2 linked regions of the Coturnix japonica genome follow. The protein of the gene in region 2 purifies or fractionates together with the protein of the main gene of each other region. This does not show direct contact. Links are inferred from orthologs where the notes say so. Each region holds a gene or a part of one and is shown on either strand. Other genes may lie near its edges.

Evidence for each region.
Region 1: the proteins of MMP2 (region 2) and COL5A1 purify together in Homo sapiens (co-immunoprecipitation; 3 studies listed by BioGRID and IntAct, counting the BioPlex papers as one, with this or other methods). This does not show direct contact. The link is inferred for Coturnix japonica from reciprocal best matches to the Homo sapiens genes MMP2 and COL5A1.

What each region holds. Positions count from the first base shown.
Region 1 is NC_029532.1:6,046,246-6,058,670, reverse strand, and holds part of COL5A1 (collagen alpha-1(V) chain), read right to left. Parts: intron 12,293-12,425; coding exon 12,185-12,292; intron 11,158-12,184; coding exon 11,050-11,157; intron 10,475-11,049; coding exon 10,421-10,474; intron 9,787-10,420; coding exon 9,733-9,786; intron 9,544-9,732; coding exon 9,436-9,543; intron 9,341-9,435; coding exon 9,287-9,340; intron 9,201-9,286; coding exon 9,093-9,200; intron 8,703-9,092; coding exon 8,649-8,702; intron 8,336-8,648; coding exon 8,228-8,335; intron 7,150-8,227; coding exon 7,096-7,149; intron 6,834-7,095; coding exon 6,780-6,833; intron 6,320-6,779; coding exon 6,266-6,319; intron 5,835-6,265; coding exon 5,781-5,834; intron 5,062-5,780; coding exon 4,954-5,061; intron 4,507-4,953; coding exon 4,453-4,506; intron 4,355-4,452; coding exon 4,301-4,354; intron 3,973-4,300; coding exon 3,865-3,972; intron 3,401-3,864; coding exon 3,347-3,400; intron 2,989-3,346; coding exon 2,953-2,988; intron 2,467-2,952; coding exon 2,413-2,466; and 8 more. UniProt on the Homo sapiens protein: Type V collagen is a member of group I collagen (fibrillar forming collagen). It is a minor connective tissue component of nearly ubiquitous distribution. Type V collagen binds to DNA, heparan sulfate, thrombospondin, heparin, and insulin.
Region 2 is NC_029526.1:2,814,977-2,827,401, forward strand, and holds part of MMP2 (72 kDa type IV collagenase), read right to left. Parts: intron 8,013-12,425; coding exon 7,839-8,012; intron 6,042-7,838; coding exon 5,868-6,041; intron 5,033-5,867; coding exon 4,877-5,032; intron 4,084-4,876; coding exon 3,930-4,083; intron 1-3,929.

The sequences.
Region 1 (12,425 bases), on a different chromosome or scaffold from region 2:
GTGGAAGGCTGTTCTTTGGGCCAACGAGCCATTTTACTCTGTAAAATACGACACGGGTTAAAGAAAACTGAAAGCACTGAGATGCATCTTACCAGTTTACCGCGCTTGAATTCACTGAACCAGGAGCCTGGGTTTTCCTTTGGCCAAGAAGTAATTCTAGCCTAGTTTGTGGACGGCAATGAGGAAGGAAAGAAAAGAGAAAAAAGAAAGAAATGAAGTTACATTCAGTTCCATCAGCAGCATCTGCACGTTTTATTGAAAATGGCCGACTTGTTTTAAAAGCATGTTTTCTTAATCATTAGACATCAGTAACAAGACCAGCCGGCACAGCCCTACGGTGCCAGCAGCCTCTCAAGCAGAAGGAGATGCCACTGCCTGCACCAGCCTCCTTTGCTAAGGACTAATGATCACTAATTCTAGATACTTTGGATGCAAAACCATCAGCGCAGTCTATTGGCAGGAGAGCTAAAAGGAAAGATACAGGAAAATAAAAATGAATATGAACGGTGAGAGTGCTGGTAAGGGAGGAGGCTGCTGTCATTCTAATGTCAAATCCAGATGCTGTGGGGCTAGGAAAAGCAAAGAGCATCATTAAGAAAAAGCCTCTTGAGTGCCTCTAGAAGTTGTGCAGCACACAGGGCAGCACATGCAGCATCTTCTGACAGTGCTTGACCACTGAGTGTGGTGGAGCTCCAACCAACTGGAGTGGAACAGGGAGTGACCTTGGCAAGAAGGGTGGTGTCAGAGCATCCCTTATGGCCACCCCACTCGAGCAGCTGAACCACTTGTTTTCCAGGCAAAGCACAAGGAAAGAGCACAGCTGCTGTGTGCTCTCCTTCCTCTTCCAAAAATTCCCTCACTTCTGCTGTAAATCTCTCCAAAACCAATGGGCAAACTTTACTGCAGGTGTCCTGGGACTGTCCTTTCCTTACAGTCTGCAAACCATAAAGCAAATTTGCGTGTTTCTACTGCGTTAAGGACGGACGGAAAGGGGATATGTCTTAAACTCTGCTATGGCTTATAATAAAACCATTCATCCGACACTTAATGCTGCTGTGATAGCTGTTCAAGGTCCTCCCTGTGAAAAAAACAGCAGGCTGAGCCTTTCTCAAACTTATGGTACCCTGCAAGAGTAGCACAATTTGCATTTAAGGAGCATCACAGTCTGGGTCCAGCAGAGCAGCTCTGCTGCAGGGAGAGCAGCTCCATAAAACAGCACGTGGATAAGTGACAAAAATTAAGAGTATGGGTCAACGAAGCAGATCAGTACACATTAACACAATCAACACCATGTATATGAATACTCATATTAGGAAACAATCTTTTATCTTCATGATATGAAAGAAAAAGAAAGACTTACTCCTTCAGACTTCTTATCAGGGAAGATGCAAGTCTCTCCACCAGCTGTGAAATTACAGTACACTTTGAAAGAGTCCCTGGAACATCCTTGGTTAGGATCCACCCAGTATTCACCTGGATGCAGGACAGGAGGAGAGCGGAAGAAAGAATCAGCACTGTAAAGGGATATTCAAGTGCATTTCAACAACCATCTTACTCAGGCTCTTTCATCCCCATTGTAGGCTACTATTATATGTATTTTTAAGGAAAATGGTGGTTGATGCCATATAATACTGCAGGATCTTTCACAAACAGCTGTTTTGAAACACATATCCCCACACTTTATGTGTTGCCTCTTTGGTCAGCCACATTCCTCAGGGGACAACAAGGGCCAGGGAGTCCCAAGAATTGTTGTGTTCCTGCACTGACCCATATTCACCAGCTGGAGTTGGGAACCCACTGTGTTTTTCCCTGCGCCCCCTCTGTCCCAGGACGCACCATCTGGGAAATCAGGGTGACACAGCTGGAGATCCTTGCAGGTACGAGCTGGGTTATGTTGAGTGCCCAATGGATGCTTCATTTGCTCAATTTCCAGTTTCAAGGAATTCAGTGAGCCGAAAATCTCCTCCATGCCATCTGCGTAGTCCATGTAGTTGTCAGCATTTCCATCGTCCACCAGCTGACTGGCATCGATGTTTCGCCTGGTCCTCTTGGAAGACTGGATGGGCAGAGGCTGGATGACTTCTCCAGGAGGACCCTGATGGATGGGGGAAGAAGATGCAACTTCTCAGTGCAAATGGGGAAGAGACAGAAGAAACAGCCAAAGCAGCCACCGGTGATGGAGAGCAGCATCACAAGACACACACTAGACATCTGAGTCACCCACGGTGGCATTGAGGAAAACCCCAGCCACCAACATTGGTTCCTTCTTCTCTTGTTCTCCTCTCATTACTAATCCCTCCCTTCACCTTCTGCAATCTTCCCAGCCATCCCTAATGGACGTCACTCCATTGTGAGGACTCTAGAAATCTACATGACAACATCCATTAAGTTTATGTAATGGTCTGTACTTACAGGAGGCCCTGGGGGCCCAGGAAGACCCGATTCACCCTTTGGACCCGTTGGACCCTAGGTGGAAAAAAAGGAAAAACATGAGTGACTCAGTAAAAAGCATTTGTAACTTTAGGAAGCTGCCCAAGAGGAATTTTTAACTGCCTGAATAGGATTTAGATCTAGGATAAAGAATCACTGCGATTCTATGAGATCTGTAACACGAAGCTCAGTTCAGTGTTGCATTTCTCACTGAGTTCCTCGTTCTTTCAGCTTGCCACCTCCTGCTTCACAGTCTATTTTTAAGACCCTCTGCATTACAGTAGTAGTTTTTCTCCTAAGGACTATTCACCGCATTCTTCCTTGTGATCTTTGCTACACTGATGTTCAGTGAAGTACAATGCATGTAACAGAAACCTTCCCCAATTATAATTTCTGAGCTGAGAATTTGCTACAGCCATCTCTGGCTAATTGCCTCAACACTGCTGATACGGAAGAGTCACAGCAGGCTGTGCACTTAATAAGAGACCCTCAGCCTCTTCACTTAACAATGTCTATACTCACTGATGATCCTTTAGCACCTTTGGGACCAGGTGGACCCTGCATAGAGAAAAATACAGAAGGGAGTTAGTATCTTTGTTAGCAGTGAAGTCAGCCTCTCCTTAGAGAGAGACAGAATACATTGTATTATACTAGTTTCAGCATTTCTTTTCTCTTCACATTCACTTCCTTTTTGTGCCCATTCTTTCCCGTCCATTTCAGCACACAAAAAGCACTCTCAAAACACATCCAAGTGCTGGTATTATGCTCAGCTGGGCAATCCCCATTGCCGTTAGCATCATCACATGAGGTCACTCCAGAAAGGCTGTGCTGGGTTATCTGGGAGCCCCAAGGTGACCCCAGAAGGGCTGAACAGTCCCCCAAGAGTTTAAAGGTTACTCTTTTACTGGTCACATACCGGTAATCCTGGCGGCCCTGGGGGTCCGATTGGTCCAGAGGGACCTGTGATACCCTGAAAATAAGAGTAGAACAATATTGATTTGCAGGCAGCGATGCTGGCCCACAACTATGGAATTAATCACTGACCACCTTGTTTTGGGGGACATACAAATCTGAAGCTTAAATTGCTTTTTAAATGTGTGCATGATCCAGACAAGACTATGACCGAGGAATCTTGTTCAAGCACACAGCTCTGTATGTCAGTCCTCCTGACACATACTTGTGTTGCATCTCTCTAAGTCTACTCAGATCTTCTCATGCGACTCTCAAGAATCCAATTGCTGTTAAAGTGGATCATTTTGGAGCATCTCTGTATTTCATACGTAGAATAGACCACATTCAGATAGAAAAGATGACTCAAAAAACTAGCAACGTTGTCATGCTGAGACTGACCATCTCTGCTATGCTAAACCTACTGTAGGGCAGTAAACCCCACACTTGAAAAGCATATTAATGAAGGTCTCACAGAACATTTACCTGTTCTCCCTTGGGTCCTGCAGAGCCCTGGGGGCCTGGGAGACCTCGGTCGCCCTTTTCTCCCTGCTCACCCGGAGGTCCAATTAGACCAATTAAACCTGGATGACCCTAGGGGAAGATGGCAGATGTTAATTACGATCTTCTCTCTGGACTTAACAGAATGCCAAAGTTACCTGTGAAAGACATTTATAGGGACAAACCCAAATATCTAAACAAGGAGATAGGAGCACATAGTTATCCATGACACATGGAAGTAGCAGAGCAAGGTGAAAATACTGCCTTTTTGCAACAGGAAATGTGACAAATACAGACAGAAAAGTGCTGCAATGGAGCACCTGTTCATTTTGTATGTTAACATTCATCACAAGCATTTCCCTCTGCCCCACACCCAGACACAGATGCCAGGCCACCCAATGGGGTCATGCATGGAACTTACCTTTTCTCCTTTAGGACCAGAGTCTCCTTTGAGGCCAGGCAAACCAGGTGGACCCTTTGGAAGACAGGAGGGAAAACAAAGGGGAGAATGAATACATGGAGAAAGCCTTCTCCCATCTCAAACACTCATCAGGTTTGATGGTTTGGACTTACCAATGGGCCTGGGGGGCCATCTGGGCCAGGGGATCCTGGAAGGCCTTGTTCACCCTGTAAAACAGTGCAGTCCTCTCAAACTCATTGTTCACAACAGTAGTGCTCCCAGATGATTATGAACCCACCCTCGTCTGGTCACAATGCCAGAGGATATTTGCCATGTTTTCTCACAGATAAAGGCAAAAATATGAGCACAAAATGAGTATAAATATATCTCTACTGGAAATGTGGCTTCTGAGCTCAATGAAACGTTAATCCAGAGAGAGGGCAAGTAGACCCAGCACTCAGATAAAACATGCTGGGTGATGGTTTCCATCATTATGCCATTTCCACTGAGGATGTTTCATCTACTCTTGGGCACTTAAGCATGGAAACTGTCTGTTTGCTTGTCAACAGCATCTTATGCTGGGAACAAAAGCATTTTCCAAGGCAGATGGGTTACAGCAACACAACCCCACTGCAAAGCTTTCTCAGGTGTGAGGAGTATTTGGGAGTACTCACAACTGGACCAGGAATTCCTCGAAGGCCATCAGGGCCAGGCTTCCCTGGAGCACCCTGGGGACCAATTGGGCCTGTCTTCCCAGGAGGCCCTTCCAAACCAGCTTCACCCTGGATGCAAGAGACAGCATGGTTTAATAAGCATTGGGGCATTAAACCATCTTCTCAGAGACACAGCAGGATATCACAGAGTAAATGCAATTCCCTGCACAGCATACAAAATTTTCCATCTGCTGACTTTCTTACTGCTTCCTTATCCTCGATGTGCTGAAGAAAAGCGTTCTCCCAAACAACTTCACTTTTCAGAGTTGCTGATTTACAGCAGGAACAGCCTTTGCTGCAAGCTCTCCAGAGCACAAAGCTTTCTTTGCTCATGTCCTGGGAGATGTGCTAGCAGAGCGTGTCCTCCGCCATCAGCATTCCTGAGGCTGCCATGACAATTGAATCTGTAATTTGCAATCCCGCTTTACATTTCCCCCATTACCCCTACTGAAATAACCACGGTCCAATAATGCTGTGTTAGCTCTGGGATATGATGTAGGACTCTGCGTGCCATTTCATTTACAGCACATTAAATTGCCAAATATGGCACTCTGTCATTTCAAAGCAAGAAAAACACTCCCGTGACCTTACCAAGCTCTGATTATCTCCATGGAGTTCATTAAAAGATGAAACACACATTCAGACTTGAGGCCAGCGGCCCCAGATTCAGGCTAATTTGTTGTAACACAACAAAGATCAAATCACTGTCTTTCAAATAACAATGTCAGAGGGTGAGTGGTTTGGCACATGAAAGACACGGTAAGAAAGAAATCCCATTCAGCTCTCACCTTGGCTCCTTTCTCTCCTTGCCTTCCTTCAGGACCAGCTGGACCAGGAGGGCCCTAGAAAATGCACAAAATAGATGCAAAACTCAGTTAGATGCAACGCTGTAATGGAGCTACCTAAGCAATGCCACGGCCACAGGAAGGAAGGCAACACAGAGGCAAATCTCTGAAAAGCTTTACGGATTCACTTCTTGCTGCACAAGCCCCTGGGCTCTACCAGCAAGAGAGGAAATGCTGGAGCAACTTTTGTTTCCTTTTGGGTCTTAGAATCTTAAGAAAACAACAGCAAAACCACCAAGAACAGAATTCAGCTCCAAACTTCCCATTGATTTCCAATGGCTGTGGATGGCAGACTGCTTCAGTTCTTTTGTTCATGTTACTGCTTTACATTTACTTTAGACTAGTACTAAAATTAGCTTTAAATATATATATATATATATATAAAATACCAATACATGTGGAAAATCATTCTTAAATGACTTGCTTACCCTTTTTCCTGGGGGTCCAGAGGGGCCTGGTTCTCCTGTAGGACCTGGGGACCCCTAGATGGAGAATGGAGATTAAGTCATAACTGCACCATGAGACATGGGAGGAACAAGTAAGCGTGTAAAACTCAAGCAGAGATACAGAGTTTGTTCCAAGCCAGGGTGTGGGTGGTCGGTACAACTCCTGACACCTCCCTAGGGTGCAGGTGGTATCCTGTTTTATCTCTTCCCACCATGTAATACCATAAGGCATGGAAAAATTAAAATGAAAGGCTAGATTTTGTTTTTCTAGAAGCTACTGTTTGCTTTCTGGATGTATTGCTGAGCAGCCTGGGTGGATGGCAGCAGCCAGGCTCACATAGACAGGAGAGAGGACAGGACTGGGAAGGAGCAGAGGACTTGCTCAGAGGAAGCTGGTGGGAATCAGCTGCTGTACATCATTCTGCATTCAACTCTTTGCACCCGCACACAGTAACCATAGGAACTGAACACAAATCCCATCCATCTGGTTACTCACTGTCTGACCAGGTTCGCCATCGTCACCTTTGTCACCAGGGGGACCATCTTGACCCTAAAACATGAGAAGAAAAACAGGCACATTGAGGGTACGAATGGAGCTAAATAAAGTATTGGAAGCTGCAGGTGTTGTTCAGCTTGTTGTTAAGCTTTACACTGCTACTGCCCCAAAAGAAAGTTCTTATGGTGGGACTTCCTACCTGTTCCCCAAGTAAAGTAAATGACAGAAGAGCTAATGGTGAATGAACAGCACACAGTCGTGTTCCACAACATCAAGAGGAGGAACACGACTGCCCCTCTGTGAGACAAACACTTACAGCTGGGCCAGGTTCTCCAGGAGGACCAGGATCACCAGGGAAACCAACTGGACCCTGCAAAGAGAGGAGAGACATCCCCAGGTCAGAGACTGCACCTGCAAACCTGCAGAGCACTCATACCCATCACCCTATGACCAATGTGTGCATCCACCCTGGGGAGCAAAATCCTTACCCTCAAACCTAAGCTCAGTTCACATCCCAGCTTTATGTGCTCAGTAATTTCAACCCGTCACGGTTACCAGTTCAGCTCTGCAGCCAGTTTACACAAAGCTCCAGTATCAACATGGGATTTCATCGAGCTTTTCATAAATATATTAGACAAGTGACAGCAGAATCCTCTCAGCTCTGGGCAACGCGAAGATTAGAAGGTTTTGCTTTTCCTTTCCATTTAATGTGTAACATTTTTCACCTGAAGATACTCTCAGATCATTCGATGACTAAAATAACTTCACCACAGTTCGCCCTACAATCCTATTGTGCACTTCAAATGATCCTCAGAGCACCGCTCAGACAATAGGTTTCAACCAATAATGTGGCATCTCAAAAACCATCTGTTAAGGGAGATGACTAACTCCCCTGCCTCCTCTGCTGCTTCGTACCATCTTTGCTTATCACATGATGAATTTCTTCAGCCAACAAGCATCAAAGGACCAGGGAAGACAAATATCGTACCATTGTCATCTGGTATAAATCAGTACAGCCCTGCTGGCTTCAATAGAGCTACAACAACTTGCATTAGCAGGGATCTGACCCTGGAGATATGGCTCCCAAATTCACATAAATCTCCTCTAGGCTATTTTGGAAGCTTTGCATTGGTGCAGAGGACACTGGCAATGTATAAACTCCAGTGCAAAGTAGATGTACCACCTTCTACATAGGGATGAATTTCCTGGTAGCCTGCAAGAAGAGCCTAACATTTCAAGTACTGCTGGAAGACAAGGTACAACTGGGTCTTTTCCTCATTAGCACTCAGAAGTAATGGGCTTATCATTGCGTAATATTAGATGGGCAATAATCTGGTTGGTAAATTATTTCAGATTTTGCAAAAATCTCTGGAGAAAAAAACTTCCCATGTGAAAATCTCCACAAGACAAGACGAGGAAGAACTCTTTTGACAGGAGAGGGTACTTACAGGGCTGCCTTTGGGACCATCATCACCTGGTGGACCTTTAGGGCCAGGTGGACCAGCAGCACCAGAGGGACCTGCTTCACCCTTTTCACCTCTTTCACCTTTTGGACCCTGTGAAAGAAAAAAAGGTGTTTCTATTACTATTGCTGATCCCTGATTATCCTCTAATCAATTCTGAAGAAACCCATCTATATCTTAAAACACAAAGACTCAGTGGTGTTGACATTGTCATGCACAGCTTGCATTCAGTGACCAAATTTATCCCATGAACACCACAGAACATGGCAGTGTCTCTGCCTGATGCCCACCACAAAGGACACAGCTGGTTCAGTCCCTACAGCCCCAGCAACATCTGTGCATCTTTGAAACCCCTTAAGCCAATTTCTTGGTGGAGAAAAGCTCTCCTCCACAGCAGCAGACTTACCGGCAGGCCGACCTCACCAGGCAGACCGGGCTCACCAGATTCACCAGGCTCACCCTACAGGGAGGAACAGAGGATGCCTACAGTTACACCTTGACATGCTCAACCCCTTTGGCCTCCAAGAGCTGCAAGCTTCAGCAAGTCATTGGACATTGAGCATCACTGTTTTCTTTTTCAGGTATATTTCCACCTCCTTGGCTTATATTAACAAAAATGCACAGTATACATGAATCTGTTTACTTAGCTGAGAAATGATCACTAACATAAGTACCTCCCAGACATCACTACATGCACTTCAAACTGGGAGAAGCCTCCTCCCTTCAAATGGCACCTATTTATTGATAGACTGCATGAACACAGCCATGCATTTACCCCATCACCACCCCACTCACAGCAAGTGTTGGAGCAAACCTGCAGCCCTCAGTCAGGTTGGGGTACATGCTTTACCTTCTCTCCTACAGCACCAGGATTTCCTATTCCCCCAGCAGGGCCTTGGGGTCCATCTGCTCCTGGTGGACCGGAGGGGCCTCTGGGCCCAGGTGGACCTGGTGGACCCTGAGGGACAGAGGAAACATTTCAGACAAGCTCCTTGGAAAAATGCATACATTAATGATGAAAACAGGAGGAGAAAAGCTTCTTACCATTTGCCCAACATCACCTGTTTCTCCCTTCTCACCTGGAGGTCCAGGCAAGCCCTGTGGGGGGACAGAAAGGGATAATTGTAGTTGTGAATACATCCCACAGAGCCTCAGCCCTCATCACCCCAGACCCACTGGATGCCATAGCTTACCTGCAAGCCCACAGGGCCAGGGGGACCGGGGAAACCTCGAGGTCCTTCATCACCCTTCTGACCAAAGAGGCCTTGCTGCCCTCTAGGACCTGGCTCTCCATCAGCACCCTATAAGGAAACAGCCTGATTCAGCTTAGCATGGGCACATGGCAGGCAAAAAGCCCATCCCCACCACCTCCACCTGCAGCTCATCCGCATGCACTGGGTATCAGCAGCACCTGGCAGAAACTGCTGTTCTGTCCAGTGCTTCTCAGCATTGATTTTGGGGTAAGAAGAATTCCTGCTAACAGTACTTACAGCTGGACCTGGCTGACCGATCGGACCTTGTGGGCCTGTAGGACCTGGTGGACCCTGTCAGGAAACAGAATTGCACAGTCACATTTAGGTATAAAGAGTGAAAAACCTCACCAGTACAATGAGAGGCCCTTGAGCATAGCATCCATTAAATCTGCATAAACTCTTGAATGAGAGCAGGGGGAGGATGGGGTCAAGCCCCCTGGATGCACCAGGGTTCTGACAGATCACCCTTAGCCCAGCATCACCTTCTGCATGTAGGTGCAGGTACCTACTTGCAGGGCCAAGAAGCCAAAACCAGCTTAACCTGACCTCATCCTTCAGCACATTTGCAGGAGAACTTGTGCAATTAATTTTCCATTCCCCAGGCTCTGAGCACACAAAGGGACCTTCAGTGTGCCATACGCATTTGAAGAAGCAATTGCAGCTGAACGCCCAACTCCAAAGGCAAGTGCTGCTGATCCTTGAGATATTTACATAGCATATAGGTGACAGGGAAGCTTCTCAAGGGAGCTGGAGGAGGACACTTCAGCAGACACACTCATTTTTACGCTGTGTGTGTATTTGACAAAGCAAAGGAGAAGACAAAGGAAAGAGAGGAAGAAATTAAAACAGCACCATTCTCTGGTTGCAGAGACATAACCACACGTTCAGCTAAAAAACAGCCATAGATGACATCCATCACACTCACCTGCTCCCCTTTGTCACCCTTGCTGCCCTTCTGGCCAGGCTCCCCGATCTCACCCTGCCAGGTGCAAAGAACACTGTTAGCTCACCTGGGGACCTCACACCCCACTCAGCAGTAGTCCCATGCCCTGATGCTGATCCCCACAGAACCAACCCAGCGAGTTCTGAAAGAGGCCAAAGATTTGGCTGCTCCAGGTGTAACCAAATCCTTTGGCATCCTTAAGCTTTCCTGAACCACTGTGTGATGCAGAAGCATCATCCCATGACCTTGTTAGCAGTGATGAGTGATACATCCCAGCTATCGTTTCCTAAGAACTCTCCAGTCCAGAGGGTCTTAATGAGTGTGTGGGGAAAGGTAATTAATTTGGAAAGGCCAGGCACCTGAGGGCAGGCCACCTGCTACAGTCTATGGGGAGGCTAACAGCTTCAGCTGAGAAGTGCTTGCAAAGCAATCAGCCTCATTCTCTCCCAAACCCAATTCCACTTGTCCCATGGGACTGCAAGTGCCATAAAACACCCTTGTGTCACAACAGCCTGCATGTTTGACCCAATGCCAGCAGAGTGGCCATGGGGTAGACAACCCAGTTCCTTCCCAGTGACACTGCACAACACAGGGAGGTTGTTTGTTCCCACCTTGTCTCCATCCTCGCCGGGGGGGCCAACAGGACCTGCTGGACCCGGGAGTCCCACGGGTCCCTGGATGCCATCACGACCTGCTGGTCCTTGAGGACCCTTCTCACCCTGGAAGCAGAAGGAATAGGAAGGTCATGCATCCACTCTCCAATTGACTCATTAAAGGCCATTAGCATTTTATTCAGCTGCTAATGACCCCTGCCTTGTACGGGCATGTGTAGCAAGACTGGCCTCCAGCTGATATCTCTCTGTGCTCCCTCTCTGAACAAGACAAAACTTCTATCTTCAGAGATAAAACCCAAGCAAATCTAAACGGTGAATACCCAGATCACAGCTGCAATTTCACTGCCGTGGCAATATAACTAGATTTAATCTGAACCCTCTGCCGTCTCTCTCTGGATGATAAACAAGTCTCCAACTAATTTTAATTCCCACAAGCCAGTGCTTACTGATGCTAGGGCTGCCTGTCCATGGCTAATCGCTAAATAATAGCCCTGAGCTCCCTCCTGAACCTCTGGACAATGGAAAATACATGAAGCAAATAAAGCAATCTCTGCTGGCCTCCCAGTTAACATCTACTTGTATTCCTCAAGCCTGGAGCCTTTGCTCAAATATGTTTGTTTATAGGAGTCGAACAGTAGATATTTTTCAGTTTCCTCATATATAATTTAATTGCATCTGAGACTTGGTGCTCTCTTCTGAATAATTAGATGCCACATAAATTGCCTATTCATCTGTCCAAGAGCATATCACATAGATACTGGGCAGGACAGATGTTCATAAGGCTGATTCACTGGGAAATGCTTGCCTCTGGACTAGCTGCTCTGAGCTGCTCAGCATCAACCCAAGAGCAGCATCCCACCCACTGCCCTGCCTGCTGCATCTCACGCTTGTGCTGGGGGAGCAGAAGATGTGACAGTACGTGGGCTGGGTGCTGGGCAGGACCATATGGCATAGATCTGCTCACAGCATCTTTGCACGGGTGTCAGCAGACGACCAGCACGCTTCGTGCTTCAGGAGCGTGTAGCATCTTCTTATTTTCCTTCTCCTTTTTTTACACCTCGCCCAGTCTGTCTCCATGCTCAGCTCTATTTCTACAGGGCCCATATCCATTAATCTGTGGACTGGTACTTACTGGGGCTCCCTTTTCACCTGCAGGTCCTGGAGGTCCCTGTGGACCAGGTCGTCCTGGTAAGCCAATGGGGCCAGCTGAGCCCGCAGGACCTCGCTCACCAGGAGAGCCCTGCGTGGGGAAAGAGGAAGGAAAAGATTACTGGAACATCAAGTGCTATCAACATATAGAAAGAAATCCAGCAGTAGAATGCTTCAAATGCACAACTCAATAAATGAGAACATATGAAGGGGTGACTTCCATG
Region 2 (12,425 bases):
TTTTGCCATTGTCATAAAATGAAGGATGAGCAGGCTAGTGGAATCATTCTTGCACCAAGCCTGTCGCTATTATGTTCTCAGGTCAAGCAGCTTTCACCATTATTATGTTGCTGAAGATCAAGGTGCTACTGGCATATGATTTTTTTGCAGAGAATAAGTTATCATTACCCCTTACTATCCAGAATAATCAAACCTTTCAGAAACATAGGAGCTGGGAGTGATTTGTTCATATGTTTTAATCCAAAACGTGGAGAAACAGTTCTAATGTCATATGATAAATTCCTGTGTTTTTATTAACAGACGTTTGACTGTGAACAAACAGTATTAGCTAGGACAAATAAATCATTTTGAAATGCATTTGCAAGTATAATTAGTTGCCATGTACTGAATTAAGATGGTGTTTGAAATGAAGGCAACTGGCAAAGCGCATTGTTTTTTCTCACTCCATTAAAATTATGTATTCATTAAATCAGACATATGGTACTAATAATTAATGTAGTGGTAAGCTAATTCACTCTCATTTTGCAAGCACAAATATATTTTTAATGTGTACAAAAATATATGAGTATATCACATAATCTTCTGTTTAGGAAAGAGGAGAAAAATGAGGTGTTTAGCTAATTGCTCTTAGGGAAGTTTTAAAGTGCATTCAAAATACAGTAAAAGATAATGATAATATGTATTTTGTCTATCTTGTTTTAGACAGCAAAGTAGATTTAATATGATATAAAATGGAGATCCATATACAAAATCTTTCCAACACTGCATTCATAAAAGTAGCTCCTTTACAGATGCAGGTTATAGGATTCTTAGTCAAATTTGGAACTGATTTATGGCTGAGTCAGCACTAATAATTTCTATTTGCATGAGTTCCAAACTTTTTAGAGCCAATGGAGACTTGAATACAGGAGCTTTTATTAAAGCACACATTTTGAGGGACTTGTTGAAATGGTGAGGTTTTCTCTTGGAAAGGGAATCTTTGCCGGAGTTGTATTTCCTTTTGTTTCTTGATTGAGTAAGAAGTGTTTTTACTACTCCTCTTATTGAGGAAATGGTGGAAATACTTGGCTTTGTCATTTCTCTTTGAAAATGTTGAAATGTTTAAACAGGCTAAATTTTAATATTATATAGAGAGAGATTTCATACAACTTTATGCTCGGTGTTTTACATTATATTTTAGCATAATATTTGCCATTATAATTTGTAATATTACTAGTATATGCAGTTATATAGAGGGACCAAATTGCTGGGTCATAGTCAAACATTTTGGTTGCTTTGAAAATACTGATCCAGTAAAAGGCTCAGTGGTTCCCTGTGTATTCCCATTTATTTATTTGGTTTCAGATGTGATTTGAAGGAAAAGGAAAGATTATTTTTTGAGAGAATTTGCCTGATCTGGCCTCCTTTTTTACTACTTGCTCCTTATGGCAATGTAATGTGACAGCTGGAATCATTTTCATGAATCATAGAAGTCACACAACAAAATAGACATTTTGTTTCTTGAATTCCAAAAGTGAATCATAGTGTTGCTTGCCTGGTATTTTGAAAGCTGCAAGACTGACAGACAAATCTGTTCCAGAGCGAAACAATTAAACAATTGTCTGCTTTTGCTGAATGTTAGATAAGGACTGAGGCAGATGAACAGATTGTCTTGTATTTGCATAGTTCTTTGACCGACTGGATCTGAATGCAGAATACTTCTATTTTGTTCAGATTACAAAGAACAGTGAATTGCTCTGCTGATTTTGAAATTGATTTAAAATGGTTCCTTGCTGGATCAAGCCCTGTGTGGTTACTGCTTCACAAAAGCAGAAGTGAGGTGGAGGTCGTGGCTGAAAGCCAACACGCACAGGTGAGCCAAAGACAGTAAGGATGCTGTGAACACTGTGGAACTTGTAAGGATGTTTACTGCTTTGAGAATGTGTTTTTCTTTTTGAAAGCACTGAGATGCGGTGAATACTTGAGTGCTCTGATTATGCTAGCAGAGGGGAATGCTGTTTTTGGCAAACCTGTTAGGCCAAAGTGCTGAGGCCAGCTCTGCAGTTTTCTGGAGGAAGGGTCCAGAGCTGGCTTTCTGTGAAGCTGGCCTGTTGGTAGAGTGAGACCATTTTTTGGCCAAGCAGGGGCTATTTCTAGCTATTACAGATGATTGGCTTATAAGGGGTCTGATCCTGCTCCTTTTGGGGCAGAGGAACAGTATTACACTCTGCCTCCTGGACATACTGAACAAATCCTTTTTGCCTGTAGTAGTTGTAATCCAAATGGGGAACATTAGAAGTTCCTAGTTATAATAACATAATCACAGCCTCTGCATTGCTGAAACTTAAAGCATTCAATAAAGATTATTTTTGGTTTGTTGACAATCTGTCAAGGAGCAAAGAAAAAATGAGTTTCAGTATGTCAGATTGGGATACTTGTGTGTTTACATATGCTAGGAGATGAAGTTTGATTTGGGCATACACGCTGAAAATACATGGTCCTAGATCTTCAGCTGCTTTGGAAGAATGTTCACAGCAACTGAGGATGAATGGATAAACCAGGCTTTGATTTATGGAAGGGAGAATAGAGCTTTAGAGTATCTCAAGCATGGTGACGCCAAGTCTCATAGTCTTTAGGAGATGCTCTTCATTGCTGAGCAGCTGGGTAATACAGGGCCTGGCAAAGGCAGTGGAAGCTGCAGCTGTGCAGCTGCCTCGTTTTATCAGGAATGTGTTCTTTTGGACCAAAAAGGCCTCTTGTGTCTTCTGCTTTGGAGCCTTTGCACTCATGCGGCCTGTTGTAATCATCAGTGTCTTTGATGTGTAATTATGGCAGCTGTGTGCCACATAATACTAGTATTTAATGATTTTGAACTAAACCTAGATAAAACCATTCAAGGACAGATTTGCTGGGAGATTTCCATAGCTGTGTCTTTGTGCACATGGGAGAAAAACAGATCCTCTTTGGACCAGGCCATTGTAATGCCTACATTCAAGTTTTGCTTGACATTGTCTCTGTGATAGAGGAGGCACTGGAGATTTTTGTCACCAGTTCTGGATAGAGTACTTCTGTTGAGATGTGTTCAGGTTGGAAATTTTCCCAGAGTCAGATTTGAATCTTTCCTCTGGAGTGCAGATTATGTGGAATGAAATAAGGAAGGATAGTGCCTCCAGAACTGTACTCAGCTGAAAGTAATGGGATTTCCAGTGCTGAATTACTATCCTTGTAGAAACATTGGGAAATATTTTATAGGGAGTGAATCCTTCTTTGGCAGGTAATAGATGGCATAATGCATCTCTTCCATTGCTAATTTTTTGATTCACATTACGGACTGGTAAATCTCTTAAGATGTGGGAGGGGAGTCAGATACTTGTGTAAACATGTAGAAGTTGAGATACATTTCCCAGCTACTTGACACTTTAGAGCTGATTGCAGCTCTGTAGAAGCCTGCAGAGACACCAAGGTTAATTTTAGCTCTCCAGTCTGTATGATTGGGCTGAAGATACCATGAGAACAAGTTATTTCTTTCTTGAGGTTACTTGCATTTTGCTCAGATTTTGGTTATAACTAGTATTGGCCCAGCTGTCATAACATCTTGGTATGAACATTCCCAGTGCAGACGGAAGACAAAAGTTAAAAATCACTGTAAAACTACACAGTGGGCTGGGAAGTCCTGCACACTGGAAGGTGTAACAGCCCCAAGCACCACTACTTACTGGTGAGGTGAGGACCTGGTGAACACTGGTCTGACAGCAGTGTGCAGGAGGCTGTGTTACCTAACCATTACAAGAGAAGGTGCCATTTCTTTTCTCCTAGGAGTTGCTTAGGACATGTTGCTATTTCTGGGCATACAAAAGAAATAACAGATTGTATTTGATTGTAATTTCCTAGACTCCAGTGAACAGGCTTGATACTTCAGGCCCCATCAGGATACAATTTATCTCACTTACCTGTCTTTGAAGAAAAATATTTCTCCTCGAATTTGTGCTACTCCATCAAATACAATGTCATGCTTGCAGAGCTCTGGAGTGACAGGTCCAAGGGTAGGACGTGGTCCTGGCCCAGGTCCTGGCCCTGGTCCGGGTTCCACATCAGGTGATACATCTGTAAGAGCAAAGAGAGGGATTCTGGGTGTTCTATTATGCTGTAATGTAGTGCTGCATCCATAATGGAGATCACAACCAATCATAATTAATACAAGGGAATATCTTTGAAAAAGGTTTTGAAGAGTAAAAAATTCTAATGAAGTCTTACAAGGAAGGGTGGCTGTGTCCCGCTGAGAAGGCCTTAGCTTCCAGTCCTGCCCGAATCTGCTGTGACAGCATTGGAGATAGCACACCTAGCTGTGCCTGTTGTGTTTAGCTGTCTATTTAAGTGTAAGATGCAGGGTTGACTACATTGGGTTTGAATGTTAACATTACAGTTTTTACTATAGTGATTTGTAGAATGAAGGGAAATGCACTTTGAAGTCCTTCTATTCAGAATTCTCTGCAACTCAGCTGAGACATCAGAATGGACTTTTCTTCTTTTTACTAGTGCTAATATTTTACAGATTATAAAGATGAATTATGAGCAATTTGTGTATGGTCCTTGTGTCTCTAACACTAATCAAAATGTGCGTTTCATAACATACTCTTTGCTTGTCATTTGTCGGGGGAGGGGGGGAGGAGGTTGGAGGCTCTTGTTTTTGCAGTAAATTTAATAGCTCCTCATCCTTAAGTTGTGTCTTTAAAGTAAAACCCCTGGCAGTAACATGAAGCAACTAGGGAAAGGAACAGGATGTTTCTGGTATTTGTGATATTGTGTGTTAGGACATCTACTGCGGGTTCAAAGTCCCAAAGGTCAACCTGTGCTCCTTACATTTCTGATGAATTCTGCCAATGAGGGACAACTTTACCATATAACTCCTGGATCCCCTTAATGTCATCCTGAGAAAGGCGGAAGTTCTTGGTGTAGGTGTAGATCGGGGCCATGAGAGCTCCTGGGTCCTCAGAGTGCTCTAATCCCATAGCATGGCCAAATTCGTGGGCAGCAACCAAGAAGAGACTGTATCCTGGATAACACAGCAAGTTAGTATCATCTGCGTTGTATCTCAATAAAAAGCCACCATGCAGGTTAGTTACGGTTTCATTTCATTGATATTTGTCAAAAGTTTCCCAATCCTAAGCAAAATAATTAGTATTTACAGCCTCCAATTACATATGTCATACACAGATCCAGAATGGTATCTCATTAGAGAATGCGAAACCTCTATCTGATGTTGCTGTAGTCTCACATATAATTTTGAACACAGTCAGTCTTAATACTTACGTGAAACAAGGAAGTGTAATAAATTAAGTCATAGATATTTTTTAAGCACAGAAGAATTGAACTTGCCATCTAGATCTCAAATCATTGAAGTGTTAAACAGGTCTGAATAGCTCTGACCCTAAACAAAGCCTGAACCAGCACTGTTGTACCAAAGACTAGGTTTTAAAAATCTGTTGTAGGAACATTTTTTATCACTTATGTCCAAACAGTCTCTAAAATATAGTAAAAAGGAAAATAATCAAAAATCCAAATCTAGCTAAAATGCTTTTACATTATTTAATTTTATCAATTATTAACTAATTAAACTTTAAATACTTGTATTCAGTATATAAACTTAGCAGGGCTCTCCTAACTCCCCGTGCCCTTTCTTTTCCTTTCATGTCTGGCAATATGTGTTCCAAATGGATTCATTTTTAACACTTAGTGTTTGTTCCTGATTTGATTAGCACTGAAGTCTCATTCCTATGTAATGTGATAAATTCTATAGTACATGTGCGTATTAAATTTGATGGGAAATTTGCTCATGGAAGAAAAACTACTGTGTTGTTACCATGGTTGGTGCTCTGACACCGTGTTACCTTGATCTGGACAGAAGCCCCACTTGCGGTCATCATCATAGCTGCTGGTAGAAGCACACCACAGCTTGCCATCATTGCGACCTGCACTTGTACAGGAGTCATATTTATTCCCAAGGAAGATGAAGGGGAATACACAAGGAGCTCCTTCTGAATTTCCACCAACTGTTGACATGGCTGTGAAAAACAGTAGAGAAACAGTAATAAGGGAATCTCATTTGTAAGCTTAATCAGATGAATATTTTCTGAAGCTAAACATTAAAAAGGCAAAGTGAGCAAAAAATCTGAAATACTCTTAACAATGTCAAGAATAAGATTAAAAGTAATATTAAGGAAGAAAATCCTCTGGCACAGAAAGAAGGCAAAGGTCTAGCTATTGCCATGGCTATGAACATGTCATTACTTTTGATGGGAAGAATTGCTGGCCCTCTGTGTACAGCTTTGAGAAAGAAATGGGTAGCAATGTTTTGTGGAGGAAGGTTGCATAGCAAATATATTTTGTTGTCATTTTGATAATGTGTTTCCTGTATTAATGTATCTAAGGAAGATCCACAGTAGGCTTAGTGTCAGAAAAGTCAAAGGGCCATTGAGTATCTCCTGGTTCTTTGTTGTCTTCACTGAAATATAAGCTTTCAATGAAAAAAAGTCTGGTGGAGAAGTCAAAACGTCATATCTCATAGATTGAAGAATTGCTTTATGTTGGCAGCAGGATGCATTTTGAAAGCACGTGGTTTTAAACTTTCTCTAATTGAGTGGTTTATTTTATTTTTACAATACTGAAACAAAAACTTGCAAAAATTTCCCCTAAAATATTTCACAGCCCTGAAGTATATGACAATATGTAATAACATATAAATAAATAGCTGGAAAGCTTAATCTTACATGTATTTCATTGTTTCAGTAATGGAAACTCTTTAGTATTTACAGCCTCCAATTACATATGTCATACACAGATCCAGAATCTCATAAGAGATTGGCTTCAGGTTCTTCTACTTGTTGAGCTGTGGATTCTATTGCTTCTTTTTGCTGTTGAACTATGCTTCAGATTTTTAACTTCTTAACTATGTATGATGATACAAAGAATTTGACCCTTTCTTTAATTTTAATTTTTTCTTCTATAATCATTTCTAAGGTAAAATTGAAAAGTTGCACCCAGATATCAGAAGTATCAGGAAACCAGACACTGATACAAATCCATATTTCAGATGAGTCGGGCATTTTCACAAGACTGGCAAAGCAGGGTACACCTGTGTGCTCCCAGCTGGCAGTTGTGCTGGCTGTGCACAGAGGCTTATGGCCCATTGTGTGTGAGCACAGCTTCACCTCTGGCAACAGGCTGAGATTTTAGAACTGCAACTACTTACTCATTAAGTCTCAGTAATTGTATCTGTAGCCTGTATCCTAAAATTGAAAACATGCCAAGCTAAAAAAAGCTTAAAAAAAAAAAAAAAAGTTTAAAAAAAAAAAAGAAAAGAAAAAAAAAATTGTAGAGAAAGCAGGGATTTATTTTCCTGCTTAAAACATTTCCCTCGGTTCTCCTGATCTGCTAAAAAGATCCATTAGTTCAAGCTTACTGTTCTAAACAGGATTTATTTTTCCCCATATGTAAATGTTAAAATATTACTTATTGAGAATCAGGAGTTAAAATTTTGCTCATGCTCTATTCTGTCCCGAATCTTCTCTTTCAGGACCATTAGCAAATTGTAATCTACTCATAATTGTCATGCAGTGGTAGACATTTAGTCCTACGGTTCAATGACTTTTGTATATCCTGGATAAATCTGCTGTAGTACTGTGTGCCACATACAGTATCCCTTACACAGATTGCTCCATTTCAGTTACTTCCTTGGCCACCAATACTGAAATTGTACCTGGCTTAGTGACTTCTGTAGGTTTTGGTAAAGGTGTGAGAAATATTTTTGTTACTTAAAGCAATGACAAATTATACTGTTATTCATACTGTGTTCCTCATACCAGTTTCTGGGCAGAATCCATATTTCTTATCTCTATCGTAGTCTTCAGTGGTTCCACACCATCTGTATCCATCTGTCCTGCCTTCTGTTGTACATTGGTCATAGGACTGGCCTTGAAATTTAAAGGGAAACTTGCATGGCTGTCCATCACCATTGCCACCCATTGTAAAGAGTGCTGTTGGGAAACCAGAAGAGGAAAATATTAAAACACAATGCTCTGAATCCATGAGAAATCATATTGTGCCCCTGGTGATGTTTGAGGTCTTGACATTGATTAGGTACACATTGTGTGCAGTGTTCACTTAAAGCCTCTATTTTACACCAAAAATACTTTGATAAGAGAGATGGATGTGTTACAGTCTCGCTAGTGGGGAAATGAGGAACAGAAAGGAATAACTGCAGATAAAGTGGGAATGAAGAAAACTGTACTAAGCTGTTGGAATGCGGTGAGGATTGTTATATTGTATGAATCATATATTGTATGAATCCTTTGTAGCCTTCCATTACCTAAAACATTTAATGTATCTTCTTCAAACAATGTTTCTAAAAACCATTCTGATAAATGATTCACATTCCTTAGTGCTTTGCTGATTAACATTCATCAGAATTGTTAGCTAGGATGGTCAACTCTGTACAGAGTCTTGGACAGTTTTCCTAACAGCTTTTTGTTTAAGCTTCATACTTTAAGATTCTAGCTTGTGGTAGAGTTAGTTAAATAATATATCCTGAAGGCATTTCCCTTAGGTTTTGCTTCTCATTTCCAAGCATCCACACAGCTGTGCTCAAGCACTCCCTAGACAAGCAAGACAACAAATCTGAATGCTGGGAGTTCCTCCTGCTTTTTGCTTTGTCAGTGCTCCCAGGCTGATTTTGTTGGGACTGTTTGTTAACTGTGCACATACACAAACAGGTCCCCATGGCTCATCTGTGAGAACAGCAAGTCTCTCATGTAGATGGAGTAGGTTAAACAAAGTCAAAAGTCCTGGGACTTGTTTTGGGATTTGAGTAAAATTTCTGGAATTGCATCCAAGCTGAACTGCATGAAAATACAGAAGGCTCAGAGCAGTCACAAGATTTGAATCTGCCTGTCTTTTCTCTGCCACTCTATAGGCAGGAATCCTTAGTGGTATGACTGTCCCTGTGAGTGCCATGTGCCTCAGGGCAACAGGCTTGGCTAGACTTGCACTGAACTGAGACCTAAACATCCTCCAAGCTGCCATATACTGTTTCTCATTGAGATTTAAGCAGGGCACCTCAGAGTGAAACTTTGAAGACAGGCTGAGGGAGCTGGGCTTATTCAGCCTGAAGAAGAGAATGCTGATAGGTGAACACATTGCAGCCTTCCAGTACCTAAAGGGAGCCTATAAACAGGAGGCAAGTCAGCTCTTTACAAGGGTAGATAATAGAAGGAAAAGGGGAAATGGTTTTAAGTTAAAGGAGGGAATATTTAGGTTGGCTACTGGGGGAAGTTCTTTACTCTGAGAATGGTAAGGTGCTGGAACAGGCTGCCCAGAGAGACTATGGATGCCCTGTCCCTGGAGGGGTCCAGAGCCAGGTTGGATGGGGCCCTGGGCAGCCTGGTCTGGTATTAAATGTGAAGGTTGGCAGCAGGGGGGTTGGAGCTTGATGGTCCTCGAGGTCCCTTTCAACACAAGCCATTCTATGATTCCACGAGCTGTGTGAATTGCCATTGTGAAGAATGCATGATTTGACCTCCTTAAGATCACCAGGAGGACATCTTTCTCCTCTTCCCCCGCTATAAATCCAAAGCTAAATCCCAAACATTATGCAGGAAGGCTTACCAAGTTGTTTACAACTTTGTTGCTATCATTTCTGATGACCAGATAGCTCTTGTAGCTTCAGTGTTTTTGTGTGGGTTTTGAGGGTTTATGTCTTTGCTTAGTCTGATATGCAGCTGGGAAGAGATAGTGTTTATCAGCAAGCGTTACCTTTTAGAGTAGGAATAAATAAAAAGCCAATATTTTTTTTTTCCTGGCAGAAGGGCAGCTGAGAAGGGTTCTGATGATGGGATATTGTGACACAAATGATTCATTTTGCTTTTTCCACTTAAATCAGCAATTGGCCACAGGATCAAGGGTATGAACAATTACTGAAGTAAGTTCCTGTCCCAGTACAGAGAGGACTTGGATCTTTCAGGCCTGGCTCACGTAGGAGGGTGTTCTGAACTTCAGATCAGAAGATCTTGCCAAGCTTTTCTCCAGGTCCTTCTGCATCTTTGACATGGAGGCAGCCACAGAGTTCTTATCTCTAGGCAAAAGGTGCTCATTGATGTAATGACGACATACACTGTGCCTCCCCAAAAGAGCAAACTGTGAATGTTTGTATTTTTTTAATATTCTGCAGTAAATAGGAAACATATTAACTAGGACTACGTCTGCCCTGATTGGAGAAATCCTTTTTATTTTTTAAAAGATAGATTTGGAAAGCAAAATTAAGCTAAGTTTTTGAGATGACTCATTTACCACATGGGCTGCTTCCAAAACTAGATCTGGCAAATTCTTATTTAATAGCTTTTATTATTATTATTTAAAAAAACAGTTAAAGCATGGCTTAGTTGCAGAAAACATAAATAAAGTCAGTCTTGTACAGCGTTCCTTGGAGTGCTTCTGAGTCACAGTCAGAAGAGTTTTTCATTTTGTTTGATATAACATCATGTGATGGCAACATCAGAGCTTTAAGTTTTCAAGGATTCCCTCCCTCCATCCCCAACAATTACTAGAAAAGTCTTTGCTTGGATGTGAATGAAAAGTAAAGGGACTAGTTTCCCCAGAACAAACTAGTAAGGACGTTAGTGGATTGTAAGATCTTAAAAGGGCCTGTCTCTTGTTCTGCATCATAGTAAATTCAACAGTTTAAAATTTGTAAAGTTCTACAGCTGCAGCAGTAGATTTAAGCTGGACATAACTGATCTGTGAGCTGCAATGTGCTGTTAGTTCTTCCCAGAAAAATCAGCCACTGGTGATGTTAGGAAACCTCAGGCTGGAAGGCTGCTAAAACCATGTGGCACAGGCCCAAGGTGGAGGTGGCTGCAGCTACAGGAGATGAGGATGCAGCCTGAGAAAGCAGTCAAGCTGCAGTGACAGCCTACAGTGTGACTGGTGCAAGAAGTATTTGGCCTGTAGGAGTTGCAGAGGAAACCTGTTTTTTTTTTCCTGTTTTTCCTATTCAGGACATTGTCCAGTTTTCTAAGTTGGTCTGATACAACCTGCTGCCTTGAATCAAGATCTTGATATTAAAGATGGCATAACTGGGAGAACCCCATTGACTTAAACCTCAAGCCGACAAACTGTGATGTGACCATCTGGTTAGCATACGTGTATTTCATTGGTGTACAAAGCTCTGGAGTAAGACAGATAGCAGTAATGTTAGGTGTCGGAGGGCCAAGATTTGGAGTCTTAACTCCCTGTAGTGTAAGTGGACTTTGGTAGAGAGAGTGATTTAACATCCCTTGATCCCATAAGGTAAAGGAGAGGTTTTACACAGTTGTATAACATGAGTGCAGTACATAGACAACTTTCTGCTTTCCCTTACTTTCCTTTAAAAATGATCTCTTAGCCTACAAATGAGGGTACAGATCTGAGATGTACTTTAGAAAGGCCTAGTGCAATACTACAGCTTTAAGGCAGATGTTTCCAAATGAGCACTGTGCCATACTGAGGTGAATTGAACCTAACTTTGGTGAATTAAAAGACAGAAACAAACACCAACAATTAGGAATATTGACTCCAACATAAGCTGTATGATGTAAATCCTCTATCTGAATTTATTAGCAGGGTTTAGCAAATGGAGTCTCGGAATAATGAGTAAACAATGCTGCTCTGAATTTAATAAGAAACATCTGTGCAGAACTGCTCAAGGATCTTGCGAAACAATTACATCAGAAACAAAAGGTTGAAATCGTTCTGTTCCGTTTCAGAAACCTTGATACAAGCATTTCCAGGAACACCAAATTGCAGAACCAACTCCTACTGAGAGTGCTTCACTGCTCCCATTTTCTGTCTTGTATGGTTTTTGCATTTTACAAAGGTATTGGTCATGGTGTGCAGATGTCTGTTTGACCAGCTTCCTGTAATATAGGCCTAATTCAAACAGTCTCTGAGCATCTGAGCTATCTTAAGAAAAATAAACCCAATTCTGCTCTTTTCCAGCTGGAAGGATTAACCTATGAGAGGGGAGATTTGAGGGAGGGTGGGGAGAGAAAGAGTAAAAGAGCAAAAAGCAGAGTTTGAGGAAGGGATTTGATTGTGCAGTTCTGTACATGTGTGCACGTGCCATTTACTGAAGTAAATGAAGAGGCTAGTTCTGAAAGGAATGCAGCTAATTGTAATATCTCTTCATTAACTGAAATGTGTTAAACGTTCATGTTCTTTTTTCTTCATCTGCTATGCCCATACAAATAGTTGTCACCATGGTAGATCCCAGCTCTAGATATGGTATAGAATGGGCAATTAGGTTTTTGGAGAGAAAAGCATACTTTTTTTTAATGAATGCTAAAGGACTGTTTATATTCTGCAACAGATTTTCTCTGACAGCTGTTAGCTTGCTTCTAAAGAAATATTATCTTCTA